Linked DNA regions of Drosophila melanogaster. The gene in region 3 interacts genetically with the main gene of each other region. Each region holds a gene or a part of one and is shown on either strand. Other genes may lie near its edges.

Evidence for each region.
Region 1: of fru (region 3) and bon, changing one suppresses a phenotype caused by changing the other (phenotypic suppression), as found in Drosophila melanogaster (one study listed by BioGRID).
Region 2: of fru (region 3) and to, changing one enhances a phenotype caused by changing the other (phenotypic enhancement), as found in Drosophila melanogaster (one study listed by BioGRID).

Annotation. Positions count from the first base shown.
Region 1 is NT_033777.3:20,591,107-20,602,129, reverse strand, and holds the start of bon (bonus), read right to left. Parts: upstream 8,992-11,023; 5' UTR 8,287-8,991; coding exon 8,086-8,286; intron 1-8,085. Other genes in the region: Pus1 (pseudouridine synthase 1), read left to right, coding at 9,534-9,573, 9,637-10,122, 10,178-10,454, 10,519-11,023.
Region 2 is NT_033777.3:25,236,032-25,247,054, reverse strand, and holds to (takeout), read right to left. Parts: upstream 6,876-11,023; 5' UTR 6,866-6,875; coding exon 6,805-6,865; intron 6,690-6,804; coding exon 6,449-6,689; intron 6,382-6,448; coding exon 6,242-6,381; intron 6,188-6,241; coding exon 5,880-6,187; 3' UTR 5,387-5,879; downstream 1-5,386. Other genes in the region: RpS27 (ribosomal protein S27), read left to right, coding at 388-607, 674-702; bam (bag of marbles), read left to right, coding at 2,079-2,566, 2,631-3,001, 3,063-3,532; CG11854 (uncharacterized protein), read right to left, coding at 4,041-4,345, 4,408-4,547, 4,614-4,851, 4,928-4,997; Jhbp7 (juvenile hormone binding protein 7), read right to left, coding at 8,353-8,554, 8,610-8,855, 8,981-9,218, 9,276-9,342.
Region 3 is NT_033777.3:18,538,949-18,549,971, forward strand, and holds the start of fru (fruitless), read right to left. Parts: upstream 6,639-11,023; 5' UTR 6,165-6,638; intron 1-6,164. UniProt on the Drosophila melanogaster protein: Probably acts as a transcriptional regulator.

The DNA.
Region 1 (11,023 bases), 2.0 Mb from region 3:
GCTATCTACAATAGCTTTTATCGCTCATACGGACGTTCATACGGACAAAAGGACGTGGCCACATTGATTGACTACAATAAGAATTTATGTATATGTATACTCCAAGGGCCAGAAATTCTTCCTTACACCTGTTTCATACTTTCCGACGAAATAGCGGGTAAACTTATAACCAACTCTGCACAGAGCAAATGCAATTTGCTGATTTATTCAGTTATTCAGTTTCACTTAAAGTAATAACCCCTATGTGTGATTAAACCACGCAATCGGATTCCACTATATACTCAGTTGGCATTCTGTGGTTCTGGCCTCATAAAAGGTATTCCTTGTCACTTAGAGTTCAGGTAGACTTAAAATTTAATTAAGCTTTATTTAAATGCAATTTGTGGAAAGTTGAAAATATTCTCCCCGTCACTTTGGAGCACTTGTGGGTGGGTGGGTCGATGTCGTTCGACGTGCAGTTGCAGCGTTCGTGTTGCACTTTTGGGTGGTTTCCCACCCACTGGGAACCAACTCATGCCACATACGCACCCCACCGCCCACTGACCGGACCATAAATCAGTGCAATATGAGACGTGCATCATGGGAGGTCTGTCGTCCTGCTGGTTAAATGGCGATTTCAGATAGAGATGAAGCCCAATGATGCTGGTCCTTTTGGAGTTTCTTCGGATTTCAGACGGCTGGATGCCGGTTGATGATGGCCGGCCATCGCTTGTTTATTGTTGCTCCTACGTCAATTTCGTTTATTTTGCAAATTTACAACACAAAACGGCAGGCATCAGATGGCACGGGCATATGTGTACTTTGAACTCTCGGACGGAAGGGAAAATCCTTTGATACAACAAAAGCAGAAAATTAATTACGTTCTGGATTTCTGTTGGGCGCCCATTTTCGACAATGGCTAATCTTCAATGCATCATTCAGACTGTCCGTAATACGTGACTAAGAGTGCTAAAACAACAAGTACCTTTAAAGGAAATATGCCAACACCTAATTTAAATGTATAATTTACGCAAATGGAAAATAATTGCCTGTAGTTTGCTACGCTTTCCATTCAAGGTTCATTCGCCGCAGTTACTCGTTTTGGGCAAGGCGGATCCATTCGATATGCTCCATGGTCGCCGGTTCATTAAGTCTGATCAAAGTAATGAAATTGGAAATGCTTCCCAGATATGTAGGGGCGGGTGCATAAATTCCAGATTCCAGATTCCTAAGCGCTTGAACAATGCACTAGGGAATCCAAATATGATACCGATAATAATGGATCCAGGGTCAACTGGTAATCGAATAAAATGAATTCGCCGTAATTGACTGGGTCTATAAATGCCTCACCGCCAAGTCAATGAACAATCGTGTTTATGGAACATACATAAAGCACTCAAAAGAACTTTTTCATCACTGAGCAGTGGGACTCAGGTGACAGACTGGCACATCAAAGTCCATGAACCTCATGATACATTTCTCTTTCAACCCCTCATAAAATGCCCTGCTTCCTCGCAGACTAATATAAATTGGCCAGGTTTATAAATCGAGCGGGAACGAGATGAAGACGAAAAAACTTGCTCTTGAAATATTTATGAGACTTTGCAATAAACTAAAATTTCAAAGACACCACCTCTCCAAAATGGCCGCCATAAATTGGTAGAAAAGGTGGAAAGGGAGCGAGAAGACGGCGGCAGATAGAGCCGTATAAAATATATTATACTCCCCATAATAAAAGCGAAAAACTTGATTGTACCTGGAACTTGTGAGCCAAGCGAGTTCAGAGAAAATCGGGGCGTTCGAGGGGCGTGTCGGGCCAAAGTTGCTGCGATTTATGCGACGCCATGGAGGAAGGCAACAGAGCTGCAAAGCCGGGAAAGGTGCAGCAGCTGATAAATATTAATGGCGAGGCCACCGCCAGATGTCCATATAAACAAACCCAATCCGCGAGTTCAACATAAATAAATAAATAAAATTGTAAGTATTCAGACGCAGCGAGAAGCGTCGCACACGCATTAAAAGCATTCCAATCCAAATACGAATTTCAAATCGTTAGGAGCACTTCAAATCCGATTCGTATCTCCTACCAATGGAAAAGGGCTGAGGAAGCGAGAGAAGCTTCGCCATTTTGGACCATTGGCCATTCGCTTTAATCGCGGGCATATCCGGCCAACGTTGCTGCAATTTCCGCCCAGGAGTTGGAGGAACACGAACTGGGTGTTGAACCACCCGAAACCCACCTAATGGACAAACCCTAATGACCCGACATTACATTTCATAACGCAATTTAAGCCACCAAAAAAGTATGTGTACTGTACATAAATATAAATTTCTACAGAAATGGTTTCATAAAAACCATGATTACGCATTTACGCACATACCCACACACAAGGCAAATGAGAAAAAGGCTGATGGCACTCGGGATTTCCTTTTATATACTTATATATTCATACACCATATATCCAAAATTTTCAAGTGAAATACCTCAAGTATTTTCAGAATATATATTTCGAAAATATTTTTTTGGAAAATTTGAAAAGCTATCTGTATTTTAACGTCTTCCCATAAAAGGGGCTGTTTATGACGGAACTCATTAAATATTATACTTCTGTATCCTTCGGTTTGGTTTCTTTGCTCGAATGTCTCAAGCCACATCGCTTCAGTCGTAAAGATTTAATTGTATGGAAATCGTAAATGGCACGAACAGAAAAGTTTTGGTTTATTTTATGAGAAAATCGATGGAACCCATTAAAAGCTGTCGCAACTGGCAAACTACAGGTCCTAACCGAAGGAAGTTCACTTGGTTGACGTAAATAAAATTGCTATTTCACCGAACTGTCATCATCTGACAGACCCTTTCGTTGGGACTTCGGGTATTCGTAATGGAATAAGTGATAAGTGGAACTTCTAACCGAGAATGACACATCCAACGAGCAGTAATAAAGTGATTCATTGAGATTGTAATGGCAGGCAAGGGTCGTTTGTTAAATGGGTTGATCGATTAGATCCTTGGTGAAGATAGTTACCGAACCTCCCTGATCAAAGGAAACTTAATAGCGGAGCGGTTCAATGCTCTACAATACTAATTCAAGGCTATCAGTTAATCATAATCTGTTTATCATCTAATGAGCTGTATGGAAAATTGGCAATTTGTAGCATATTTACACAGCTGTTTGCTGAATGAAATGTTTACTTTAAAAGCAAGAAGCAGATTAAACATAAACAAAATTTAAGGAGAGACGAGCGAAGCGGGAGAAAGCCGGATGATAACATTATTAGTTGCTATTTGGTTCCGACTACGGTTGGCATTGGCTAACCCAAACCACTATGATAGTCTTATCTTAATTAGTTTCGCCGTATTACTACTTAGAAATCGCCATTTTATTTTCTGGTCCCGAACGAAAACCAGTTTTGATATTCTCTTAGGCAAGTTTTACTATTTCGTGCTCAAACTCAATGTTTGGGTTGGGAAAACTTGACTAGTTACAGAACGGAAGGTATAATAATTACTACTCCCAATCATGTTGCGAGCATAAATTCAGTATTGAAAATCTTTTGGTGGGGGACCAAGAGACCAAAAGACGTGGAGCCAACCGAAACGAAACCAGGAAACCGCAAACTAATGAACGGACTGAGCTGTCGGCTGGTCCCCGGATTTTGGACCCCAGCGATGCTGCTGCTGCTGCAGACGACGGTCGAGGTTTGCGTCGGGTTGCATTGGCGGTGGCCTGGGCAGGGCGTTGTGGTTACGTTGGTCCGACGAGCCGGTGGCCCTCGGTCTCTGGAGCTTACCAAAGCCGTCACAGCCGCTGTTTCTGTTGCTGCTGCTGATGCGGTTTGCGGTTCTTTTTGTGCCCGTTGCAATTGTTCCTGCTCCCGGAGGGCATGGCATCAGCAGACACGTATACACCATAATATGTACATATATATGGATTGGATGGAGTGTGCACGAACTACGAGAGTACGAGTGTTTTCCAAAATGGCGACTCCCCGCTGATGTAGATACACAAACCGGTAAGACTTCCCAGTCAGCAGGGGGCCCGAAAATCGTGACGCCAGTTGCAGGAATAGCAATATTATAACCGATATGGATGGTACCGGGACTTGGGCGTAGGCGTATCTGGGGGCATGCCAAGGCGGCAGCTGAACAAGCTGACGCAGCTCAGAAATCTGCTTACATCTGCTGTCTGTTGCCGTAGGATGGTAGGAAATCAGACAGACTCGCTTCTCAGGACTTATGCAGCTTATAAAACTTTGCCCTCTGCATTTCCCCTCCACTGACAGAAACGCTCTACTTTTAAAGTGGCGTCAGTTCGGTTTCCCTTTGCCACGGCCGCCCGACTGCACCATTTTTGTTGCTGTGCGTTATAATCCGCTTTTTGTGATCGGATTATGTCCTGTGTAGCACCTAATCCCCGCACAGGAGTGCGACCAGCGTACACATGTTGCCAACGAGCACCACTTCCACATCTACACCTACAACTACACCACTCCCATTCCCTTTTTCAGTTCCAATCCGATTCCATCCATCCGCACTGATCCCGCAGTCGCAGTCAACTTTAATTACGCACTGGACGTCGATGGATGGATTAGGGCGGCCTTACGCCCACCGACTGCCCGGAAAAGCAATTAAAATGTGTATATCCTGGATAAACAGGAGAACGTCCCTAAATGGAACCACCTTTCAAGTTATAAAGCTGTTAACATTTTAGAAAAAAACATGTTTTCATGGTTTGTTCCAATTAAACGTTATTAACAATAAGTTCGGAACTGAGAGAGTTTATAAAATGTACATCAACCAAGATGGTTTTTCTCCTAAAAATAACAAAAAGCTATTAATATAAGATTAAAAGTTTATAACAGGTACAAAGAACAGTAGACAGTAAAACAAATATACATATAATCTTTTTTAAAATTTTTTTTCCGAACTCGAAAATAAAACACTAGTAACGAGAATAGACTAGAGCGACCTCTCTTGTTCACTTCAAAAATATGTTGAATATCTATTTTGACATTGAGCGTACTAAATCAGAAAATCTTTAATGCACATATTGGCTTTGACACAATTACCTAGTTTAGAGTATAGAGTATTATTTCTAATCCTAAATTCGTTCAATCGGATCACAAAGGGGATGGTTGACTATAGATGCCATAAAATCCCAGCATTTTAAAATCCCGATGTCTGCATTAATGCCAGGTAGTTCGAGTAAAGTGAAAAGAGAGTCATTTTCCAAGATCTACCCGCCCTTATTTCAGGGTAATCAAGTTAATTAGAAACTTTACTTTTTTGTGCATTTAACGACTTTTATTTTTGGGGGCTGGGGTTTCCTAGCACCGGCGTCTGGCCATCGGCACTTTGCCTTCTCCTCGTTTTGCTTTGCTTGCATATTCTCATCAAATTAAAGTTAATTGTACATCATTAAAGGCGGATTCTAAGAATTCGTTTCGGGTCTCGTCGGTATCTAACACAAAATGGCGTCGTACGATTTTGGGTTTTCATTTATTCCGATGTCAAGCAATTTAATTACAACCTGTCGCATGCATGGGGTAACACACAAAGACATGACTTCATGAATATGTATGTACGACAAGCGTTCGTACATACGTATTTATGGGAGTATTAAATATGGCCTCATGGAGGGTAGGAAAATGCATTTAGGTGCAGTGTTTTTGAGATGACATATGGATGCCCGCCAGCGGCAACCTCCCCATCAGCTGTCACTTTTAATGCCGAAACCCGCCATTTTGACAGGAGCTACAAATGAATAGGTTTCTCTTTTCAGTTAAGCTTCAGTGATTTTGAGTGTTTTACCGAATCGGAAGTATAAAGGTAAAAAAGAAAGTCTCCACAAAAGCAGACCTTGTGTTTATGAATGTATAAAACCTTTCAAGCTAATTTTAATTAAAAACAAATTAATAATCATTTGAGTTTAATATGAGCAGAGGTATCATTGTTTACTATATATAGGAAAAAATTATCCGTGAATTTTAAGTCTTCTCTCTTTATTGAGAAATTCTTATTATGTTTTTCGCCCATAAAAGTTACTTAACGACATCATGTATTCCATGTATTCATGAGTAGGTACAGTTAGTTTTGTGAAGTCATGCATAAATTAGAATAATTTACTCGATGAAAAGGAAAAAAATGCCGTCAAGAGAAGAATTAGCATTCAAATCTAAAGGAAATCTAAAGGATCGCATAATTCTTACTGGATCATAAATAATTCTTTGATAATTCTTTTCATATTAATTATTTAACTATTCCGTGCTTGGCAGTTTCTTAAGTCAGATTGTTTTGTAGTTATGTACATGCATGTATGAAAATCTTTAACAGGATTAATAATCTAAAAGCTATTCCTTTGAAATCCCCATCATCATCCATTCTGAACTCCACACCTTGCCTCGGCGAAGTACTTTCCACTTGATAGTTTGCCCGCATCAGAAATGGGCATTAAGTGATCTGGAGGGGATTCAGGCGGGGGGGGGGGGGGGACTGGGCATGGAGTCTGGGGGTCTTAAGTGCCCCCAACGACCACAGCAAACACAACCGTTTGCATGATTGAGGGACGGATTGAATGAGTGCATGTCATTCCCAATCCCTGGTTGGGGTTCAAGAGAGAGTGGCCACTCCAAAAGGCCCACTCTAGGCGAACATTTATTTGCACGGTTGCAGGAGAAGTTTGAGTCTTTCATACAGTCAGGCTTCCGTAACTAGAAGTATCACATGCCGCATAGAAAGTTAGAGCTCGAATTTTTAATTACATACATGAAAACGTGTTTGTTTTATTTAGCACACATAATAAAATATCGTGACCAATTAGTGTCATCTAAAGCGGTTATCATTTGTGAAAAACATTAATTTTGTTTTATTGTAATCACAAGCCGTTGATTTTAATTCATAATGTTAGTGTTAAATGAAACTTTCAAATTGCCCAATTTACGTTGAAAATAAGGTAGTTATATTCTGTATGTCCCAAAATTATATTGGAAGTTCAGTTAAGGCAAGTTATCTGGCTGTACAGTAAGTAACTAATACAATGAAAATAAACAAAAAGGTGTAAAAGCAATTCAATAATTCTTTAGATTGAAGTAGTTAAAATATTATAGTATTTTTTTATTTTTCAGGACAATTATGTTCAAGCTTTCCACTAGGATGATCTACTTGGGTTCCACTGTAGCTTAAAGAGCAGCTCAAGCACGACGGAGAGCAAACAAAACACAGTAGAGAGCACACACACAACCACACACACTCTATTGCCGCTCATCTGGAGAGTGGCAGCTGCATGTTGCAGCTGATCTGCAATTGCAAGAGAGGGAGACCATCTTGACTTAGCCCTTCCACGTAAGTGAAAGCGAGGTAGCGACTGTCTAGAAACAGCTTGTTTTGCTCGCACTCATAGGGGAATCGAGAACCATCGGCACGAGACCCTAACTCACTACACAGTAAAAAAAAAAATTCTCAATCAGTAAGCTAATAATTAATGTTTAATTTGTACCTTTTTTAATTTAATTAAATTCTTGCATTAAGTTGGTATATTATTTTTCATTTTTTCATATAACAACTTAAAAATTTGTATATTAGAACTAATTTTAAAGTTGATTCAACGTTCGATAACATCACATTTCTTACATCTTAACTGGTATATCCAAGATTAAAACTGCATAGTCATATTAATTTTAAAATAATAGAAAACTATATATACACATATACTGTAAAATAGAGCAAAGTGCACGCCGTTTTTCTCACTGTAAGATCTCGGACTGGGCCGTGAAAGTGAAACACAACAACACTTGCCATTGCGCGCTGTTTGTTTGGTTGTGTGAATACGCTGCTTTGTTTGCCTTGGCCTGGGAAAAAGATAACAAACGCTTTTTGCACGAGACTCGATTCGAAACGCTTGATAAGGAGGACGCAGCACGAGCGCATCAAAATCCAACCAAAACAAAAGTTTACACTGAGCAGACTGCGCAGAGCAGGGGAATATGTGTATTGAGCCGGCTGTTTGTTATCAGCCGCAAGAGCACGTGTGATTAGGCGGCTTTAGCTAACCTCAACTTGGCGTTAGCTTATAGGTAACGAACGCGTGATACGGACTAGCAACATACCCTTTTCTCGGCACTGTCGCAGGGGTTGCTCAGACTCAGCGAAGAGGAGCTCAATGACGAGGTTGTGGGCGCACCGCTGGCCGTGTTTGGTGTGCTCATCTGGGGCAGGGCATCCGTGGGCACGGCATCCAGCTGCTCCTGCTTGATCCCGGCGATAAGCGGCAGGAAGTCGTTCTTTAGCTGCTCCAAATCCATATCCATGTTGGCGAAGTCCTGCGATTTAACCGCGTAGGCGGTTGCTGGCGATCGTTGAAATTAAAACGTGGGCGTGCTAATTATAGCAACTGATTTTTGGTTGACTGACCGACCGACCGAATGTTTCCCTAAAGGCTGTCGCCTTGAAACGGCATGACTATTGCGATTATGTTGCGGTATTATTGTTTTGGAATTAGTTGGGTAGTTAATCCATTCCAATGCTTACACGCACGCACACGCACAAACACACACAGGGCGCGCGCACCAATACACAGGAACTACACGAGAGCAGGCAAAAACAACGATTTGTGCTTGTATGGATGTTCACAAACGATTTTTCGCTGATTCTTAAAGTTTTGTTCGTAGTTGACTCCTCTTCAATTGGGTGGCTAATGCATTTTAATTTCACCTTCGACTTCTGGCTTGCAAAAATATTGGGTTCTCCCTCTCTCTTTCGCACAGAGCGACACAACTTTCGTTTTACTTATACACGACGTTCGCTCGAATTTCGCTGCTATTTTTCGGTCTGGCCGTCGATTTTTCCAGCGATTCGTGCCGCATTTCGTCCATACGCGGCTGCTATTCTTTATTCGCGCTGCGAGCGCGCTCTTAGTGCGGTTTTATTGGCGTAATTCGCTGCGAAAACACACGGTCTCACGGCGTTTGCTCTCGTTGGACGCTTCTTCTGTACAAAAAATGTTCAGCCATTTTGGATTCAATTAATTCATGTCGGCGTTGCCAGTACGACGGCATTTCGAGGGCTGTTACGCACGGCCGTGGAAACGTAAGCAGCTGAGGTCACACTAAACACGCGATCTGGCAATACCACAATTGAATTCGCCGTTCATTTCGTAAAAAATCATATTAATGTTGTAATACATGGTCAAGATGCCATTTATTTACAATTTAAAACTAATAACTTAGCCTGGTATTAAAAGGTTATAGTAAAATATAACATAATTTTTAAAATAAACTTGTAACGTCTTCGTTCTGTTAAGTCATAACGTTACGTAAAGCTTTGAACATTTTTCTCCACACAGCTAATTTAAAACTTAAGTAAATCAAAAGTAGCATTTCGGAAACTCAACTTAATTATTGAGCTAATTCAAAGAACGCGATTTTCGAAAAAAACATATTTGTATTAGCCAAACAGAGCTGTTAAATAAAACAGCTGATCCGTAACAGAGCAAGAAGAAGAAGCACAACCACACGTGTGTGAATTCCTCCACTTTAAATCCAGAATTGTTTACTTAATGTTTTTAAGACGACTTTTAAACGACTACACCAAGGCAGGTTAATTATTAGTGATCACACCTCCAATTCGAGAATTTATAATAATTAATTTTCTTACAATAGTTCGCCTGAAAACCCTTTGCAATCCCTGGAATCGCCACAAATCCTTCGCCGCAGCGATGTCAGAGGCTCTAGATAAACTGGAGGTGGAGAAGGAAGCCAGGAAAGAGGCCAAAGAACTGGAGGGCGAAGCCGTGAAGGACGCCAACCGCATCAAGAGAACACTTAAACGCAAGAAATGGGTCGATTGGAAGGAGCAGGACGAGAAGGATGCCGCCAACGGCGTGAAGCGAGCGCCGTTCGATCCCGCCGACCGGATCAAGCGCAAGAAGAGCGCCATCCTGCTTAGCTACTGCGGTGCGAACTACTATGGTATGCAGCGCAATCCCGGCATGCAGACCATCGAGGAGGAGCTCTTCAAAGCCATGCTAAAGCACAAGTGGATTACAGAGGACAGCTTTGAGCAGATTCAGATTTCCTGTTTCCAAAGAGCGGCCAGGACCGACAAGGGCGTCTCCGCCGCCCGCCAGGTGTGCTCCGTCAAGCTGCGTTAGTTTACTTATTCTATTTTACAAGACAATACTAAACCTATTCCTTCCTGCAGCTGAGGAGCTGGACCTGGAGGCCTTCAATGCCGATCTGCCGCAACAGATCCGTCTGTTTGGCGTAGAACGCGTGACTAAGGGCTTCAATGCCAAGGATCAATGCAATGCTCGGACCTACACCTACACACTGCCCACCGTGGCCTTTGCTCCGTTTGAGGAAAAGGTCGACGACGTGCACGACACCTTCCGGATTTCACCAGAGCTGCTGCAGAAGGTTAAAGAAACCCTGAAGCTCTACGAGGGCACGAAGAACTTCCACAACTTCACCAGCAAGAAGTAAATAAGCCAGGTTTATACTTCATTTCTGCTCCAACTAATATTTTGTTTACTACCCTTGTAGAAGCTTTCTGGATCCTTCGTCCAAGCGCTTCATCATGTCCTTTACGAGCAGCGAGCCATTCCGGAGTCCCCAGGACATCGAATTTGTCACACTTAAGGTTAAGGGTCAGAGCTTTATGCTGCACCAGATTCGCAAGATGGTGGGTCTAGCCATTGCCATTGTAAGGGGGAACACGACGGCGGCCACTTTAGAGCGGGCACTGACGGAGGAGCGTCTGGACCTGCCGATGGCCCCTGGACTGGGCCTCGTGCTGGACACAGTGCACTACGAGCGCTACAACGATCGCTACGGCAAGGACGGCATCCACAATCCGCTGACATGGCAGGCGCAGGAGGCGCAAGTCCAGGAGTTTATCGAGAGGGAGATCTTTAGCCAGATCTATAAGACGGAAGCCGAGCAGCGTAACATGCTCGACTGGATAGGAACATTGCATTATCACTCGTACGACACGCGGACGGAGGACGCGCCTCCACCTTCCTCCGAAGACAAGAAGGTTAAAGGTGGT
Region 2 (11,023 bases), 6.7 Mb from region 3:
GTTGATACACCGAGAGAAAATGTGCCAATTGTCTGGCTTAGAATCGTCAAGTGGCCTGATAACATTGTATTCAATTCTATTGTTATCTATTTCCCAAATGAATTGTTAATTGAGAACTTAAAGATCAAAGTAGTTATACTTTAAAATATATTTTCAAGTATTTAAATTGGTAGAAAGTTACTTCTTCGTTAATTAATAAAGAATTGGTTTTCCTATTGGATCAAAGTTGGACCAACACGTTTGGCGCCAAAGAAATTTCGACTTATAACTAAGATTTAGAGGATTATCTAGGCTTGAAGTAATCCAACACATTTGGCCGTAATCATATAGTATAATATATACATTAAATGAATTTATACTAATTTTGAAACTATTTTCACCTTGCAGCTAGCAAAAGATCTTCTGCACCCTCTGCCCGCCGAGGAGAAGCGCAAGCACAAGCTGAAGCGCCTGGTCCAGCACCCCAACTCGTACTTCATGGACGTGAAGTGCCCCGGCTGCTACAGGATCACCACCGTCTTCAGCCACGCCCAAGGCGTCGTGGTCTGCGCTGGATGCGCTACCATTTTGTGCCAGCCGACTGGAGGACGCGCCAAGCTGACAGAAGGTATGCTCCAAATGCTCACTGTCCAATGTTCCTTCGCAATTAACCCAAACGATGTCTTTCTTTCAGGCTGCTCCTTCCGCAGGAAGCCACAGTAAAATGGGACTCGCGATGAACCACAAATTATTAATTTTTTAATAAAAACTCTAAAACGTAAAGAAACCACAGAACCCATACGAGAGAAAGCTTGTAATTCAATTGCTGCGGTCCTTTGGTTCATTGTGCTTTGTGAATTAAAGAATTAACGATGTTGTGGTCGGCTAAGTGAAAAAAAAAACAGTTCTTGTCGTATTTGTTTATAGAAAGTGGATAATTGCCAACAGGATAGATAGTGGAGCTCAATCGCTGGGGTTCCCCGATAAGAAACCGCCCATAATGGAAGCTCTTGTGTGTGCAAATACCCTTGTGCGGCAAAACTTCAGGAATTTTTCACTAGTTATGCTTAGATCTAACCATTGATTAACTTCACAACAATAAAGAATGTTTCATAGGCTCTAAATCGAGATTTTGTGAGGCTTCTAATGATTGGGCATTCAGCATTTTTTCAAGAATTTTGTAACCGACTCAAAAAATCTTTAGAATGGTTGGTTATTCGGATCGCATATACTTAGCTTGTTTGTCTTATTTTTATTTGGATGAGCGCCAAAATTTTGCTGCGTCAGTCTGGAAAAAATTGAATCAAATGTGTATAGTTTTATAGAAGTTGGGAAGCGGAATTTATTTATTTATTTAAATATTTATAATTAAAAAAATGAAAATAGTCACGTTGTTTAACTAGTCAGTATTCGAACCAACAAATGTAAAATGTATACTGGTTTGTGTCTAAGCTAAGCTTGTCATATTAACGGAGCTGCCAGATGTTAGGAAGTGGGGATGCCATACATTATTCTAAATTTGCGCGCAATTTTAGAAGCTTATCGTCGTCAGAATTACAAAAACAAATTGAATATGAAAATGGGTTATTGCTACTTCATTATTATTGTCACGATATATGATAATTTATACAAAATGTGATAAATCCCAAATTGTTAAATAATGCTTTGGCTTGCTTTATACAAAACCACTAGATAATTAAAATATAGGTGGCCTAAATTGTTGCATGTTGTTTTATAATTAATCAGCAATTTGATTTGGTTGTGATCGACCAAATCAGTGTGTATAATTGTAGTTAAAATGTAAAGTTCGTAATGGATTATTGAATCGCATTTCAAATTTCTTTAAATGCGCCCGGGTCAATGACCTTTTGAGGTGACCATAAATTGAAACTTATTTGTGCGACGGCAACCCTGTTCTGGGACTCGACATGATATCGATACGTTAACAACAAAGAGTCTGGACGCCATCATTCTTCCTCTTTCTCCTGAATTCGCAGACAGCGTGGCGTCAGGCATTTCAAACGGTAAAAAGAACCTGGCGATAAGGAAAGATTTAAAAGGCAAAAATCGAGTGATTTGTGTGATTTAACTTAAGAATAATGCTTAATGCACGTGACGTGTGTCCTGAGGGCAACGACGACCAGCAGTTGGACCACAATTTTAAGCAGATGGAGGAGCATTTGGCCTTAATGGTGGAAGGCAATGAAAACGAAGATCCGAGGAAAGCCACTTGTGAGTACGAGGATACGAACGAAGATGGTGCAACCTGCACATCGGGCGTTTTATCCGAAATCCAGGAGAACTTCGGTAGACTCCGGTTGTGTGACGTTACTGCACCACTCCTCGAATTCCACGGTTTGGATTGCTTGCAACAGATTCAAAAGCGCTCGCGCCATTTTGCATTCGACGGTTCTCCGGCCAAGAAGTCGCGATCCGGAGGCGTGTTGGTCACCGGGCCAAAGCAGAAGCAACTGCAGAAGGAAAATGTGTGGAACCGGAAGAGTAAAGGCTCTGCGTCCGCGGATAATATTGAGAAACTGCCCATAACTATTGAGAAACTGCATATGATTGGTCTGCACGGCGATTGGTGAGTCTTCTGGAGTATATCCCAAATATATCACATAATAAAAAGCTCCTTATCTAAACAATAGCTTAGAGCACAACGCCGTGCTGCGTTTGATGAATCTGTTCAGATCCCTGCATGATCACCTGACCGCCGATTTGGGCTTCTCGCGCCAAAACTCAATGCCCTCGGACTATCTGTTCGATATGCCGGTGAAGAGCACGATGCCTAAGAGCTTGAATGTGCGCTACCAACTGCAGGTGCTGTGCACCAAAGTAGAGCGCTTCCTTGTCCAGCAGCGCCGCACCTTGGAGGCGAATCGCCACTTCGATTTCGAGAAATACGACGAGTGTGACAAGTTGCTTAAGGGTTTCGCATCCTATTTGGACAACTTCAAACTGCTTTTAAAGCCCAAAATGCGCAATCGAAACGGAAACTCGGGGAGCAATGCGGACAAGTGTAAGCTGTAGATTTGCAAGCAACCATTCAGCTATTCCTGCAACGATTTTATTATTTACAGTCCATACTCAGCGCATGGAGAGATTGCTAATTGGTCTGCGCGATTGGATCAAGGCTGCGCATCTCAGTGTGCACGTATTTAACTGGGAAATGGATCTGGAGCACCGCTACTCCGGGGCCATGACCGAAAGCCACAAGTCGTTGAACGAGCGGGCCATCCTTTTGTCCGGTGCCGAGCTAAGGGCGGCCGAAGCGCGTGGAATCAGTGCGGAGGATCTGTTCATCGCCCAGAGATACAAACTGGGAGGTCCGATCTATTGCGTTCTGGAGCAGCATGAGTTCCTCTCCGCTCTGATCGCCAATCCAGAGACCTATTTCCCGCCCAGTGTTGTCGCCATTTGCGGGCCACAGAAGCTTGGCGCAGTGAGCATGGAGCAGCCGTCAGCGTCGGAGGAGGAGTTTGAGGAGACCGAGGAAGTGCCATCATCGCCACCTCGTCACACCGGACGTGTACCTCGCTTCAGAAGCTAAACTAATGCTGTGCACATCGATAAAAGAATGACAGCAAATATGCAATTTAAAAAAGCTACTCTTCTCATGGGAAGCAATAATTTCGTAAAGTAAACATATCTATAGTGTAAGATATATTTGTCCAATAGTGCGGACTCCATATTTGTATTCGTGAATAAGCTTATATAAGCTTTTTAAAAATATTTATCAAATCGATACAAACAAAATCAAAATGAAAACGATTTATTACCCCTGTTTTGAGATTGATAACAAATTTATATAAGTTTAACTGTGTTTACATTTATTTGGCAAAACTACAAATGTGTTTGCTTTTCACTTTTATAAATCTGTATTTTACTTAAACTTTAGAAATAAGAAATCCTTTAGTGCCTGAATTTATTTTGCAACTACGTTTTATTTGTATGAGGAACTTACCAGTTTTTCTTATTTGCTTTGCATTTGTATTTTGAAAGTCAAATAAATATTTACGATTTGTGTTTGGACTAATTAGGGTGTTTGTACTAAGGTCTTAGACTACAAAGAGCTGTTCGAGCGGCAGTTTGCCAAAGATCCTGTCCACCACCGACTTGGCTATCAGTCCGAAGGCCTCGCCAATGCCCGGTTTCAGTTCATTGAAGATGTCCTTCCAGTTCTCATTGATAAGCGCGTGCATGTTCTCGCTGAGATCTTTCTGGCCGTTGAACAGATTTTCCAGCTGGTAGGTCACATGGGATGGATCCAGCTCAACCTTTATGTTCATCACCTCGGCGTAGGTTTGATGATCGCCCTTGGAGACGCGCTTCAATTTGATCTGTGCACGTACCTTTGTTCTAGCTGCGAATTCCAGAAACACATTAAAAATTTTAGATTTCAAAGCTGTGGGAGGCAAATCTTACTGAGGCGTATGTCAGCAATGCCATTTCCGGTGATGGGCAGAATGAGTATTCTTCCGTCCACCGAGTAGGGTCCTCTGACTCCTATTTCTGGAACTTCCATGACCAGCTCGATGGAGCGGCTGAGATCCCTTGTGAATCCGCTAAAATCCGAAACAGAAAAATGTAGTAAGCAGAGCGATCATAAAATGAAATGAGGATCCACTCACCTCACTCGCTTCGCAACTCCCTGATGCAGACCCAAGATGTCCATCTCGTGGAAGCTGAGATCGATGTTGACCGGACTGTGCGGATTGCGTCCGATTTTGAACTTCTTGACGTGCAGCGGATCGAGGGGGATCAAGCCCAGCTCCTTGATACCGCTTTTGGCGTAGTTCCTGAGCACGAAGTTCACCCTGTCCTCCAGGCACTGCTCGTCCATTATGGCGCACCTCTCGATGCCCGAGGCTGTAAATTGGGGCGTGGCGATTGTGAAATATACATAAACATTATATATTACGGAAAGGGGGTGTGTGCAACTCACGGAAATCGGAGGCGTGTCCGTAGGTGGACGCACATCCGAACAGCAGGACGAGGGCGAGAGTTAGCTCCATAATTGCTGGCGGCGAACGTAATCGAGTACTGATCCATTAGCCGCGGGCGTTAACACTTATATAGTCACTTTCGTCAATTGAAATGTATCATGTTTTTGTTGCCGTAAACCGCTTTTGCGTTTCAGCCGCACAGAATTTGACTTTAGACCGTTTGGCAGTTGAGTCAGTTAAATGGATTATAAACCGAAACCGGCAGGCTGGCTGTATGGCAAAGTGGCTGGTTATAGCCGGCGAATTCATTTTACGATTCCCTTTAATGAACTCCCAAGTTCCCAACTCCCAAGCCAGACATCGACCCCGTCCCATTCAATCGCTCCTAATCGCGTTTTGGGTGCAATTTGCTCGATATATGCAAATTGGATCGGCCTTCCCCAAAACGCACATTAATTCCCGTTTCAACGTCTAATTAATGGCTAAGTCAACAAAGATTGTTTATCAAGCTTTTTTTTAATGTAACTGCCTTTTCCAGTTACAGATATTCCCTGCCTTTCGGAATCTCCGCGCGCGAATAACACATACTTTCAGGCGGTCCTTCATCTTTTGGATCAACCTGATCTATAGGGTTCCACTCACTGTAACTTAATTAATAATGGGTCATAGTTTTAAATGTTTTTATGGTATTTTACAGAATTCTTTGTATCACTTATAAATAATTTACAATGTGCTAACTACATATATGTAACTTTTATTGCCACACAACACTTACAGATTATTTAGCTGAGATGGCTTAATAGTAGTTACTTGTGTTCTCACTTTCAAACGCGAAACACGAACTCCATTAAACCTAATGATGATTGCTAGCCTCAAAACTTAGATCTGTCAGTACGCAAACAACATGATCTAGTATCTTTATGTGGACTCTGCCCACTTTGAAGAGCTAACTCACGATTCATCCGCAAAAAACTTGGCATACGGCAGTTTGGAGAACACACCTTTGACGACGCCCAGGTAAAGTTTGCCAAAGGATCGGTCGATTGCTTTGGCCGTCTCCTTGTAAATGGCCTCCGAGTTTTCGTTGAGGAAGACATTCATGTTGTCACCCAGCGCCTTGTCCCCATTGAACAGATTACTGAAATGGTAGTGGCTGGACTCCGGCTTCATCGTTATTTTCAGATCGGTAACGTCCAGGTAGGTCTCCCCATTCTTCACCAGCGGTTTGCCCGAGAAGCTGACGATTGCCCTGACGTTAACTGGACAGGATTTTTAGTTCCTCGAAATCTGAAAAATCAATTGGCATAGCTTACCCATTGTCATGTTACTCTGTCCAGTTCCGCTGATCGGTAGAATGAGTACCTTGCCCTGGATGTTATAGGGTCCAACGAGTGAGAAGGTTTTCGTGACAATTTTCACTTCGTGCTTGGCGGTGAGATCCCTTCCGAAACCCCTGCAAAGATCAAGGCAAGTTGAATCACATCCTTCTCATCCAAACAAAGTGTTGTTCCTGCACCCACTTTACTTTGACGATCCTTTGGTCCTTGATCCCATACAACAGATTGTCGGTGAAGGTTAGAGTTATGCCCACGGGACTGGAGCTCTCACCCTGGCTAATAACCATCCGATCCACCTTCAACGGATCCAGCTGCATCAGGTTCAGACCAGGATCCCCCTCCGCCGAGTTTTCGCTGAACAGGGTGTTGCACAGCTTCATGATACATTCGCCATCACCATACTTACAAGGTTTTGGATCTTCGGCTGTGAGGAACACAAAGGATTATTTTGGAACCGAAAAGTAGAGGTAGGTGTCTATCTAGGTTTCCCAGATTATTACTTCATTGGCAAGGTCTTGTTTTAAAGGACTTTCTCTTACGGAATTTGGCATCCACCGAGACCAAAAGGCACAAAACCACTGCGAATGCGATTGCGAACATGCTAACACGTCTATAACTTTAAGTTACTGAATACGAACGGGATTTTCGCCTAGTATTTATAGTGGTCCACTAAGTGCAACTCAAATAACGTCTAATGGCAACCTTTGATATAGCTCTTATCTGTGCCGTAACCGTCTGTCTGTCAATTCCAGAGCTCGTTTCAGAATCATCAACTAATAACGAATAGCAACTGAATCATCTGATGGTATTAGGTAAGAAAACGTTGTTCTAATTTCAATACAAGCCTTAGTTTATCACCTCATTTGGGTGCACTTTAGACAGCAAGTAGATCATGTAGCAAATCTTCTTATTCACCTTAATCTTCATCAATCAGTTACATCGAAAATCCGCTCAATGAATTTAAGTATCAGACAGATTATGTCCAATTAAAAGTCATGGTATTAAGTTCTCCCTTAACAAAGTTAACTGGCAAGTGTGCAACTCACAAAAGGGCCAGTTCCAAATATAGCCGAATTGAGATGCGAAAACAACGCAGTCATCGTGACCACCAGTTCTTTAGTTGGCTTTAGTTCTTGCGAATCGAAGTGAAGGGCAGTGGAGGAGTAGCGGTGGAGTAGTAGCTCGGAACAGGTCCTAGACTTTGGGTTAACTTAATGACCAAGTGTCCCGCTTTAAAGTCCAGCCCCCGTGGAGAACAAAAGCAACTTGTTTCGCTCGGAATCGCTGCAGTTGATTGCTCGCTCGTGGAAGATTTTCACTGACCCAAGGCCAACTGGGTGTCCGATTCCCTGGGATCGGGATGGCAGCTATACCGTTGGCTACTCTTGAACTTGGACAGTGAAATGAGTTCGCAATGAGTGACAGCACAGTTGTGTTCAGATTAATAGCACTGCCATTTAGTTAGTTCTTGATTCTAAGACAAGCAGATCTTAGTCATATATCATATCATCATATCATATACTAATTTTAGTGCACTTTGGGCTAAATTAGTTGCACAGGATGTAGGAGTAGTAGTAGGAGCATGCATCTTCGTCTTTTTTAAGACACAAAGTATTTGCTCATAATAATTAAGGTGTTTATTTCAATTTGTTGGATGTTTTAATACTTTAAGCGTATGTATAACTACGCTTTTATCCACAAGTATAGTCACCTTAGCAATAATGCCTTTGTCATGCAAATTTCGAATCAATCGTTCCATCACGTGAGCTGCCTGTTGATTGCTGATTGCTGGCCAAAAATGAAACAAAAAGTGTATGCGACACTTGTGCGGAAATAGTGAGATCCACGTTTTAGCTAACAATGGCCCCCCGCAGAAGCAGAACCAGTTTTTTTTCGAATGTTTTTGTTTATTCTACAAGTTAAAGCTTAGCTTAGCAGATACGATGATACGATGATGATGTGTCAATGGCCGGAATGCCGGAATGCAACGCCCCATGTGAGTGAGAATAGCTTGGATAGGTGAGGAAATACTCGTACACTTAGCCTAAAGTCCTAGGGCGCCTGATGGCGACTAGGACGACTAGTGCTCAGTTCTCGAGGAATAAATCCTCGTAGGCGAAGCGCTTGAAGAGCTGCGAGAGAACGCTCTTCATGATCTCGGCGATGGCCACATGAATGGAGGGATGCAGCTCGTTCCACACCTCCGTCCAGTTGTCGTTGAGGAACTGATTCAGATTGGTGCCCAATGCCTGGTCGCCATTAAAGAGGTTCTCCAGCCGAATGTTCATCCTGTGGGAACACAAATATGTTAGTATATCTCAGCTAAAATCCGAACTGCACCTACTTTTGTGGCTCCACCAGAACCTTGAGCTTATCCACGCTCAGGTAGGTGCGTCCATTGCGCTGCTGTGTGCCCGGCTTGAATTTCACCGAAAACTTGGGATTGTGCAACACGATCTCGGCATCGCCATCGCCACGAATCGGCAGGATCAGGATGCGTCCATCCGCCACGTACTTGCCCTTCAGCACGATCTTGGGAAAGGATCCGTACATCTCAAACTTGCTGGTTGCAGGATCAGCGCCAAAGCCACTGAAAAATACGATTATGATGGATAAGTGCAATCAACTTAATATATCTTCTTCTGTTAATAAACATGAGAACTTCTTCACTTTTGCTTAAGAAGGAAATCACTTTTCATTTCACTTGCTACTTACACGGCTCTGTCGAACTTCACACTGGACAGGCCCTCCACATTCACGTCCCTGAAGTTGAGCTTTAGATTCAGGGAGCCAGTGCGTCCGTCGGAGATGTCGAAGCGCTTGATCAGGAAGGGCTCCACCTGGGGGAATCCAGCGGACGGATAGCCGGTCCTCGCGTGCTGTCTGATCAGCATGTGCGACACGTTGATGATGCAGCTGGTGTCGCCCATGTGGCAGCGCGGCAGTTCGGGAGCTGCAAGGATAAGCTGGCGATTAGCGAAGCACTGGGATTGTTGGCCAAAGGACTCACGGAAATTCGAGGCACCGCTAACCAAGCAGCAGAAGAGGGCCACGCAGCCCAGCTGGAGCAGCATCATTCTGGATATGGATCTAGTTACGTACGAAATTCAAGCGCCCCGAAATTCAACCGCTCGACGATTTGGCGAATGCCCGACCAGGTTCAATGGCAAACTGTAAATCGGCTCTGGACAGACGGCGGCATTTATAAAATTTCTGATCGGCCAGAACGATGGAGCGGCAACAAATGTGGCCAACAACAACCAGTACACTTCATAGTTTATTCATTCCTGACTTGTCGCGTCTTGGCCCTTGTTTTTCTTGTTGTTGCTGCTGCTGCTGTTGTTGTTGTCTGTCTGATTGCTGGCTATTTTTATTTATATTTTTTTTTTATTTATTCGTATGTGTATATCTCTTTCGCTTCGTGTTATGGATTCTCCTCATCATCATAGACATCGCAGTCTTTATCTTTATCGCAGCTACCCCTAACCAGAATTGGCAGCAGCATTATTATTAATTAATATTATTAGCATGCAGCAACAAATAACAATAAACAATAACAATGGCAACGCGCACAAAAGGCAGCGAAACTCAAAATTTTAATGCTCAATCCAGTCAGTTTTCAAGCAATTAACCAATATATTTCCACTTATCCTGCAATGCATTATATATATATATAATTTAATTATACATATATAATTTGCACTATATTTCGGCATCTTGTGTACTTTTTATAGATTCAAACTCCGTGAAATGGAATCCGCGCTTTGTTCACACTTTTAATAAAGTGCAAATATCAATTCGTACTTATTGGCTTATGATATTATTCATCCCATATTTGCTTTGAGATCAGCACTTGGAATTGGGAACCTACCTCTGGGGGAATTCCTAAGTGTGCTAAATGGCCAGGCAATCTGAAAGGGAATGATAATGAATAGGTCATGGTTAAGGATCCACGATAAAAATCACTTAAGTTATGAAATTGTATTCCGACCAGAAGGAAGAATGCATCCCAAGGCTCCCAACTATGAAATTTCCGTTTTGGACATATGTACGAAGATAAATCTTTTTGTGGCCAACACAACTCAATTCCGACATAAACCAATTAGACATAGTCGGGCATTTTGGACGACATCAAACAGGTTCCAACGGCATCGATAATCGATAATGGATGGATCGACGGATAAAAGTTGCTCGGCGAGGTGGCTTCACTTTCAAAACTATTGGACAGGCGACGTTCGGAACGGGCCGAGTGAATTTAATTTGGCAAATTCTAGTTAAAGGCTCCTGGCGTTCGTCATCAGCAATTAGCATATACTACATATATACATATGTATATGTATATTTGGTGTGTGATTGGCATGAAACCGGCATTCTGTTTATTTACCCATCCAATTGGCGCCAGGTGAGTCCAAATATTTCACTTTTGTCCACTTTGATGTGTTTGCGCAGCCAATTCCTAGACGCTGTCGTAGACATCGAGATTACAACGGATTTTCGGGGGCGAAATATGGTAATATATGCAAACACGCTTTTATTTTATTACGTCGGGCTTGCCTGCAAATAATTTGGCATTTCAATTTTGAGTTGGTTGATTCATCTGCGCGTAAACATGATTTCGTTTTTCTTTGTAAACTCAGTAAATACGTTTAGTTTATAACTAGTTTAGCTACGTTGTAACGAAGTGGAAAGCTTATGAATGGCGGTTACTTTTCAATTTTTAATGAATTCACGATGAGTTTGGGAATTTTTGGTGGCATT
Region 3 (11,023 bases):
AGAAGTCGCCGGGCAAGGCCATAAATAAACAGCTAGCCACCCACATTTTTACACGGCAAATTACACACGGCTTAAAGGAAAAAACATGGGGATATGGAAAAGGGTTTTCGCATCTCACATGTGTAGGCGTAATGGTGGTCGCAAAAATAGCACACATATATCAACATATTATGCTATCGTTCTAATTGGTTAAAAAATAAGAATTATGTTTCTTCTTTATTTAATGTAAAAGGTAAGAAATATTTGAATGAATGATATCAATCTCCCTAATGGCTTTAAGCACATATCTAAATTGTTTCACATCCTTGCCAGGACTAGCACGATTTTCCCGTTCATTTGAAGCCAGGCATAGTCCTTCAATTTTGGCCGCTGCTGTATTGTGTGTTTATAGTAGAATATTTTCACGCCTCAATAGCGCACATTTGTCTTGTGTAGACGGGCCAGCGTTTTCAACGTTATCATTTTAAGCAGGCGCACAGGGTGCTCATGTCCTGTGTCCCAGAACAAGGACGAGAACAGAACGGGCCAAGAGCAGTGGGCTAAAAGGGGATACCACTGCCACGTAAAAAGCGGCAAGAATAGAGGGCAGTCTGCTGGCTGAACATAAAATGCACTTGGCCGTGTCTCTGGCGTCTGCTAGGATTCGATTGGAGTGGACTGGACTGGACTGGTCGCCACTGGACTCAACTCGACTGCAATTTAAAGCCGGACCAACTCGTGGCCAAGTGCTTAAAATTGTGTAAAATTGGATAAGGCCGGGCCAATGGTTTTACACCCCAAAAACCAAAAGGTGTAAATGGAGCAGAAACGCAGACAGAATGAATTGGACGAAAGGACACTTACAGTCAAAACAGCTCAACTAGCTACCTTAAAACTTAAACAGGAATAAATTCTACCTATTTATTCTATATTTGATTAAACCCTACACACAGGGAATTCAATAAATGTATTTGGCTTAAAACAAAAGAACGTTGTGCCCCGTTAAGCACGTAATTTTCAGTGTTTATTTTTAGTAAAGCTGCGAGTTTCGTCGAACTTCGCGCAGCTTCACTGTAGTTGAACGGTATTTACAGGCACTCAATGTGTCCAACTAATCGAGCCGACTGAGATACAACGCATCTAATAGTCTTTGACCAGGAGCAAAGGATGCAGATGCGGATGCGGATGCGTTTCACCCAAGTGCTGGATGTGGATATTTTAAATAATTTATCAAATGCCATGTCCTGCTGTGGCATTGTTGATGCTCTTTCGGCTTCTTTGGCTTGTAATGAAATTAAATATTGATGCAGGCGTTTGCTGTCCGAGAAAAATACTAAATATCGAAGGAGCAAAACCACAGGCCTAATAAAACTGCTCATGGGCATTAGGTAATCAAAATGTTAGCCAAGCCAAGTCGAGGCATTTTACGCAATTTTACAAATTCAACTCTCTGTTCTTCTATATGTGCTTTTAGCCAGTATATAGCCCTCCCTTCAGCCATTCTGTCTTGAGTTCTGTCCGAGTCATTTTATTACTTTGAGCATTTTTGAGCATTTGGGCAAATACTTTTCATGCATTTTTAAATTGAAGCAATTATGAAGCAACTGGCTTAGTAAAGACATTTTTGTCTCCTTTAATTGGCAGCCAAGCTGCAGTATTGAGCTGCATTTTGGCAGTCTTATGTAAGATCCGACTGGATTGTAAAATCTTCATCTTCATCTGCCGGAAAAGTTGTGCACAGAAATTCATTTAACAATTTGTGGTTTGGCACACTAATTGTTTGTCGAAAAAACCGGCAGAAGGCAAGACGACAGCAAGAAAGAAATATATAACTTGAAAAGTGTATACAGTTGAGGTGTCCAAGCAAACCGATAAATTGGTTGGCAATTATAAGCCAAATATTTGCATATCTCCAATGGTCTTATTCCCAATTCAAATGGAATTAGAGAGACTTCTGGTATCATTATTGGCCTAAGGTTAAATGTGCGATTCGAGTTTAAAGTGCCAGCATTTTTATTGCAAGAAATTTCGTTTCCAATTCGCAGATAGGCAATCTAAAATAATATTTTAAAGTGCAGTTATAGCCCATATATAATAATCTCGATCAACTTTGGCACGGCTTGTGCATTATTTGATTCGAAAATGATTTCATTGAAATATTTCACTTTTCGTTTGACTGTCAGTGCAAAATTTAAGACCAGCTTACAAGGTCAAAGGGCGTGCTGGTGATAGCAAACTGCAGACAATTCAAACAAAAAAGCATTTGTGCATTCATTTCATTTTACTTAACTTTTCCTGTTAGTGCTACGCACAGACTTACTGGCACAAAAGCATTAGAAACATGCCAGAGTTACTGCAAAAAAAACTCAAATAAAACCGCGTCGAGAGCCCCGAAAAGTGCGCTTTAAGTTTTGAATTACTTTGCGGCATTAGCGTTTAACTATCCGTGACTTTTGAGCAGTTCTTTTGTGGTGTAACATTTTACAACGACCTCAAGTGCGAAAGTTAGGCTAATCCTAGATTAGCCAATAAATTGGCCAATTTCGCGATGGGTAAACCAATTACGCAAGCAACTTGGCTTATGAAAATATTGCTAACTTGCTACGATTCAATTAAAGTTAGAAGCTTCGACCTTGTTACTCATCCAAGTTTTTAGCACAAATATCAAGTAAAGTGTACATTGTTATTACGAACAATAAAATGAATTATCCATATCCATATTTGCCAATTTACTCACACTTTCTGTAAAGCATTTAATTGCATAAGGTCCATTTACAGTGAGCACTTTTTATGTTTCGTTAATTTGTAATAAATTACCGCAGTTGATTTAGATGCTTTCGCCGTAGCTTTTATCTAATGTGCACTCAACAAATAGCCCATAATACTATATTATGACTATTTCCGATTTAGCCAAGCCACATATGCACATATGAACACATGTAAACACGGCCAAAAACACACGTAATCGCGTGAAAATATACACAGAACCATAGAAAATAAAATCTGTTAATGACAATAAAGTGTAAAAACATTAAATGCTGTAATTGTCGAGTGCATGGAAATGAAATTTGTAAAAACCCCAAACACAGCACATGTGTGTCCGTTGCCTTTCTCCCCCTCGATCCACCTTCCCCAATCTCAACTTATGCAATGTTGATATTGTATAATTTGCACAATGTGTCGCCCGTAGACCATCCGAGTTATGTTTGTTAATTTCCATGTTGTAAATAAATAATTAAATTACTTTGCTGGGAAATGCCTCATAATGGGCTCGACACCGGAAAGAGACCCAATAAAATACACAACACAGATATTAAGTTGTTTTTAATGTGCTCGAAATGCTGCCATCCTGTGGAACTCTGTGGGTTCTCTATGGGTTCTGCATCTGTATGGGGTTATGGCTCTGGGATTTCTACGAGGCTGTCTGTCACTGGGGGCCGGGCCATCATCATTCTGCCAACAAAATCGAATTACTTCCGTATGTTGTGGCATTGTGAGCACTAGCATTCATACATATATATATATGTATATATATCCCCAATTCATGCCGCACAACAACACGAGCAGCCGCCAGTGCAGCTCCATCTCGACACTTCACTTCACTTGTCCTTGTCATCCGTTACAGACCGCCCTTTGGCCCCAAGCCACCCCCCCCCCTTTTACTTCCACCCATATTTTACCCATATTTTCCCGTGCTTCCCCCGACTTTTCCCACCTCCCAACTTGTTGGACTTTTGTAACGGTTCTGGCACTGGCTGTTCATCAGGCTGCAGTCGCAGCAGTTCGGCTTACACACAATTTACAAAATAACCTCAATCCACCCACTCAATCTCGCATTCCCGCGCCCCGCTGGAAAACTGCGTCCCTGCCTCGCAGGGGCCCTTCACTCAGTCACTCAGTCAGCCGACTGGGAGAGTGTGTAAATTGTCTTGTGTAAATATGCAAATTTTTCTTATTTTCATACCCTGAAAGGGAGTCGCACTGCTGCAACAAGAACTTTACAAGCCTCTCAGGAAAATGCAGCCGCACTAGTACTGTTTTATGAAGTAAAACTAGTAACTTTGGTAAGCACTTTTTTGTAAGTGCTATTCAGAATATGCTCAACTGTATAGGAGTTGTATTAAACAAATGCGACTTTAAAAATATTTAAAGAGTTTATTCAGCATTTCCTTCAAGCAATTTTTTTCTACGAAGGAAATCCTTTGAGATGTATCTATTTATCTAATGAAATTTAAAATATAATTTTGCCAAATCATTATAAAAATTAATATATATACTCCCGATTTTTTCCTAATCCATTTAGTTTACAAGCTCTAACTTGATTTTCTGTTTCATAATAAGATTAACTGAAATATTATATACTCTTGCATCGTTTGAGTTCACATTTTTTAATTTAAAGTTGATATGGTCTGCTTTTTACTTTATTTTAACTCATATAATAAGAGTAACTTTCTTAAATCATCCTAATTTCTACCGAAATAGATTCCCATCTATTTTTAGGCACTTTTCGTGCAAGGGTATTAAGCGTATCGACTTCCTGGGGTGTATCCTGTCAATCCTGTTTTTATTGTCAACGTTGTTGTTATTGTCTGGAGTGTGGATAGGGATCGGGGGCGCTGTGGGCGGGGCGCTGGCAGTTCGTGTAAACAAACCAAGGCGTCGGATTAAAAAGTTTTGCATTACAAAGAGTTTTCGGTGGACGGACGATGGGGACGGAAGCTTGGGAAAATGTTTTGATTATTTAACTGCAAGTTACGATAAAACTAATTGCAATTACAAGCGGACTCTTTCCCTTTATGGCCCCTAATGAAATTGGCAATGCCAAGGCTGACGATTCAGCACAACTCAAATCAAACTCGGACGCAAACTTCGCACTGCAATTTTATTGGCCCGGTTCAATTTGAATGGTTTGCTTTCTTTGTTGGCCTCTGCATAAATTTTCCTCGGGCAATATTGATTTCCATTACAAATCCAATATTAAACTATGCCCCTGAGAGCGATTACTCGATTCCTACCGTTTTGCTTACTTACTTAAACCTTTTGTAACTCAACGAAATTGAGGACATGGCCAGGACACGGCCAGGATGCACCCGGCCCACAGATTTGTAGTTATTACAAAGGATCATTAAGAGCGTAGATATATTTTCCCTTTAGACTTGTCATTTAATCTCTGGAAATATTTACTACACATTCCTACCTCATAATTTGTCAAAATATTTTTGGGTGCCTTTAAAAACCAAATTTATGTTGGCCGGGGGAGATGTAAGAGTACTCAAATATATTATTGAATATAAATTGGTAACACGGATTAGCCAGTTTGCAATTGGCCTTGGTCTGCTGAACTTCTGAATAAACTGAATCAAATGCAGATGAAGTAAACTGATATTTGCTAATAAAATATAAGAAACTGAAATTTGAATTGTGCTCAGCCAACTTTAGGTTTTGTTGTAATTTAATTTGCTAGTTAAAAGTTTTCGAAGATTTTGTTGTTATAACTGAACCGAATGTTTCTTAGCAGTATAGTATTCTTGCAAAACACCTCAATGTGGTTTAGAAAAATAATTTATTGTAATTTAATTTAGGTATATCTTAATTCTGTCAGTAGATTCTATGATTTAATTTTCTAAAAATTCTTTGTAATTATTAAAGGTAAATAAGGACCATATATTTGTCTGACCTGTTATTAATTATTTTATACATCTGTACTGATGTGAATGGATGAATATTTTTTAAATGTGTTAACGTAGTGAATTTTCTTGCAGTACCATAGATATTAACTGCTTGGATACTCACTCAAATATTTTAATATATTTATTTTATATTAAAACTTGGAAACCCCAACGTTTTCGAACCTATCTAACATTTTTAAATATAAAACCTAATTGATAAACACGTACTTCATAATAGATAGCACATAGTGAGAATGCACTTTAAATATTTTTAGAACCCACATTATAAAATTTTCAAAAGACTTAGTTAAAATAAATATTTATACAAAGAAAATGAGCAAACAAATGTTTTTTTTTTAATATTGGTTTTGTACCTGTGCCCTTAACGTATTCCACAAAACCACTTAATACAATTTGAACAACATAAAATCTGCTCTCAGAAGAGCATATCACCTGCACTTTAAGTAACTTTACATAGGAATACCTGGCTCTTGTTGGCCGGGAACACAGACTCACCTGCTTTTATTTGACCTTATGCGGCTGCAACTTGTTGACTTTAATGAAAATGCACTCAGCAGAGGCTGACTGGCACACACAAAACGCTGGCACAACAAGTTAATATGTATTAGCTAGTCGCTAGTATGTCTGTAGTATCTTGGCTTAAAACGGCACTCGGTGAGACACCAACAGAAAAAAAAAGGACAAACAAAATCGGGCGGCACTCGCACACTCAAACGTACGCACACAGTTGCAAAACAAGTCAAGCGCGAAAGGACCGACTAAAACATGGCTAACATGTTTGGCTAATTGGCGTTTCTAGCGCCGATTTTTACAGCGCTCTAGCATTTATGTAAGCGGAATGTAAAACGCTTTACAGGACTTCAAAGTCTGGATTGGATTGGATTTGAATTGGAATGTTGTGGCAGGTCGTTCGGTATGTCGGCTGCTGATTTCCTTCGAAGGGATTGTGTGAGCTGTGCGTCCTTGCTGAAGGAGCCGCCGCGTCCAACTGACTGCTGCTGGATGTGCAAGCTGCGATTGTTGCAACGACTCTGCTGTCGCAGCACCAACGAAACGCAGCAGCAGCAGGCGCAGCACGGCGACAGCAGCAGCGTCAAAGGCAAAAGCAGCAGCAACACATAAACGCAGTACATGGTGGGTTCGGTGGAATACATATACATGCTCGTTGCTGCCGAAGTCCTTGCAGTCGAAGGGTTGTGTAGTTGCACTTGTAGTTGCTCGTGTTGCAACACACACAGCAGCAGCAGCAGCAGCAGCAACAGCAGCAACACGACATCAACTTCGGCCCACATTGTGCAATTGGCTTAGTTCCCAGTCAACAACTGGCCGCCTTTACAGTGCCCGTTTACAGCGAAGAGAAATGCTCTCGATATCCTTGGCTGCTTTCTCTCCGAGGATTTTCTCGAACAGCTGTTCGCGCTTGCCGGCTCTTATCAGTGAAATGGTAACAGCTCCTGTTAGCGTGCAAATGCACTTTTCTTTTCTTGGCTTTCCGCAGTGGCATTTCTTTTCGTTTCCTTCCTCTTCCTTGCCTTACTTTCATTTCCGTTCCTTTCGGTGGGGTTTGATTTATTATGTAAAAGTACAAGGACACTGCCACATACAGTGGGTACTCAATTAACTAGCTTTAGAAAACGAAAATATATATATTTTTAAAAAGGCAATGTTTACTTTAAGTAAATATTAATTGAATATAATATGATTTCAATACGAATAGCAAACATAAGTAGGCAACTTAACGTTAATAATTGATGAGTAGGGAAAACTAACAAACAATTTATCAAAAATGTATTAAATATATGCTTTCGCTACGATCCCGATTACAGGGTGTACACTGTACCTGCGGAGCTGCGTGTGCGTGCCAAGTGTTGGACAAACAAGCTGAGCACTAAAGCCGGAATACATTTGAGACTCTTGCAATCGACTTAATACGCCGCTAGAAGGGGGCACGATACGGCCTCATTGCCCCTACGGGAATGACAACCAATATGAAAATGGATTACCACAAAATGCAAATTGCGAAATGGCCAATTGATACCAGCGTCTAGCCACCTAATCGTCCGATTAAACCACCTTAAAATCGCAAAGCAGCCAGGCATTAATTACACGAAGTAAATACACCGACTCGGTTTACTCGGCAATGATAAAATCTATTATTAGAGAGGCCGAGTGGAAAGTTTTCCACCAACCAAGCCAACCAACGTTTGCTGTTGCCAACCGGCGTTGTTAGCAGAGCGCTGCTAAAGGACCTCTGTTAACTGGGCCGGCACGTGTTTCTCTCTCGCACGCACACAGCGAAGCGGATTTTTTGATTCTGTTTTGATTAATAGCTTCGTTGCAAGCTTATCAAGCGCCCACACACACACACACACACACACACACAAGCGCGCGGCCAGGAAGTGCAACAATGTCACGTGGCCGGCATTTGCCGAAGTCTCCTCTCGCCAGGACTCGCGCTCGCTCTCATTTCGAGTTGCCCCCATTTTCTCTCTCTGTAAGGCCTGCGCTGTTTACAGCAGTTAACTTTTTTCCAACGCCCTGCAATCGAACATGTTGCAACTATCCGTCTCTTTTGCGCATTTCCCCAGCCCATCGCAACAACAACAATAAACGAAAATAAACAAAAACAAATATAGCACGAGCAGCAAAAAATCGAGTATTACATAAGTCGGTGCTCCACCTACGCGAATTGGAATATAGTGCTGGCCCTATGTGACTGTCCTATATGAAAGATCGGGTATTTTGGTCGGTTCCTCGCTTTTGGCGAATGAAAACTGCGAAAATGCATTGTTCGTTTTAATTGCCAAGGAGCCGGACTTAACTGCCACCCAATGTGGCATGCATTTCGGGGGCTAAACGACAGACGAGGGGAATCACCGATTTGAAATTAGCCAGCAATGAAGCGTAATCAAAATATTATTTATTCATTTTTGTTTGCCATTCATCCGGGTTTGACCTCTTTATTCTTTCATCAATCCTTTTTCTTTGAAGCAACTACAAATTTCTTTTTTAATCATTAACTTGAAACAGTTCGTAGACTAAGTATACATAAATAAACAAATCGACCTAAATTGTGCTGGAATTAATTAAAATTAGAATTTCTGTTTTTCGAAATATTTTTCAAAAATGAAATGTGTGTAATGGCATAGGTTAAAAATTTATTAATATTTTATATTTATCTACATATTCTTTGATTTTATCAATTATTATTAAAAGACAGTTTATTTTGCAAGAGTAAAAGGCTATATTATTAGTCAGTCCTTTTAAGAAATATTTTTAAACAAATAATCTATTAATTTGATTACGAACTTGGTAACCATGTTTGGTTTATTGATCTAGCAATATTGCAATATTAACGTAAGAATATTTACCACAACAGACATATTTCTCTGATAAATAATATGGAAATAAAAAAGTGTAAATAAATACGTATTCTTTTTTGAAAATTTTAATACCAGTTCAGGAAACTTAATAATTACCGAAGTAATTTTGATATTATATAAAACATATACACATTTTGGAAAAGGTTTATATTTAAATTAGATACGAAGCATTAAGCGAAATAATTGAGAGCTCAAATTAACCAAACAAGCAAATAAAAACTTTATTATAATATAAAAAAAGTCGTTGGAAAAAGGTTTTAGTTCAAAAAATTTTATTCAGATTCAGAAGGTAAATGCCTTATACCTTTAAAAATATTGTTAGCTCATTAAAAAAAATTTAGAGCTGTTATAGATCTAAGCCTTTCGCAATCAAATTAATTAAAGTAAAATCTCTTTATAACGAACTAAATTCAAATGGCAAATTTCTAGTTATATCCCTCTTAATTAAGTTTTCAAATCCGTATATTTGTAGGTAATTAGTTTACGGGAATTTTTAGAAGCAGTCCCAATTTTATTTACCATTAAATAAAGATAAAATGCGATACATTCAGCTAAAAATTAAAGCCTTGGAACCTCGGTGAGCTAAACTGGATTGCAGCGGTGCGCAAACTCCTCCTCTTGCAACATGTTGCAGCGTAATCGCTTCCCCTGGCGAATGCTCGCTCGATGATGTTTGCCGTGTTGCACTGGTGGGTTTTTCCAAATGGGGGCTTCGCAATGGTTTCGGTCGGATCCGGTCTGGTGGTGTGGGCTCCCTACAGATTTTGCATTTACTCCGCTGCCTTTTTGGCCATTGCCAGGACTCCTGTTGCAGTACGCAGTACATGTCACCTACATACACGCACACTCACACACGAACACACACACACACACACACACACACAGATGGCACACATGCGTGGCTCGTTTACATAGGCGCCGACGACGGCCAACCAACGGCGTTCGTCCATGTCGCCTACACATTGGCGGGTGGCCTTGAGGGGGCGCCACCAGTGGGTGGGTGGGCGTTGGGCGGTGGGTGGCGGAGGGTTCGACACTCTCATTCGTCGACGGAGCTCAAGGACTCCCATACCGCCTACCTCTCTTTCGGGCCATACAATGTTGCTCGTTTGGGTCTCGTGATCTCGGGCTTTCGTAACCGAAATGCCAAACATACAGCGTTGGGCGTGGGGAGGGGGGGAGGGGCGCAGGGGCGTGGCATTCAGCATTCGAGTCGTCGCGACGAATGCGTAAAGTTTACAAAAAAATATCCTTGCAACAAACTGCATTTAAATCTCCTGCTCTTTGGTTCCATCGGCCTTTTTTTTATCCTTATTTCATATTGTATTTATTTGCCTCGGCTGTTTGCTCTTGTTTCCTCTTGTCATGTTCTTATTTCATAGCTCCAAGCCATTTAGCGCTCTCTTTGCCTGGCATAAATTTTAAACTTAATTAAATGATATTTTTATTTTAAATGGCAACAAAGTCGTTGCTTGAAGACCAAAGGCTTCAGTTAATCAAGATGCCTTACTCTAGTAAAGTACGAATTAGGTGCAAGTACTACGTTTATTAATATTCATTTATGCTTGGTAATTTTCGTAATACATTAATTGATTTGCTTTGCAGCTCTCAATTTTTGTTATATACGGATATCAAACTAACACTCCAATTTTTCTAGGACTCATAATGTGGCCAATACAAATTGACCTGCTAGAAGGACTATGTCAAATGGTAGTGAGTTCATTCGTGATGGAAACGTCAAATGGCTTGGATATCCTTTTGTGGGAAATATTGAATGTGTCCTAAACAGCCTAACTGCATCTTGATTAACTTAGAAACAGTCAATACGGGGAATAAGAAAACTATATTTACTGCGCCGCTTAAAAACATAATTCATTTTTATTTGTTTATTTAATCTACAAAATTACTTTTAATCGCTGCCTAGTACTTTGCTATTATAAGCTCCAATTTAATATAACAATATACAGGCCA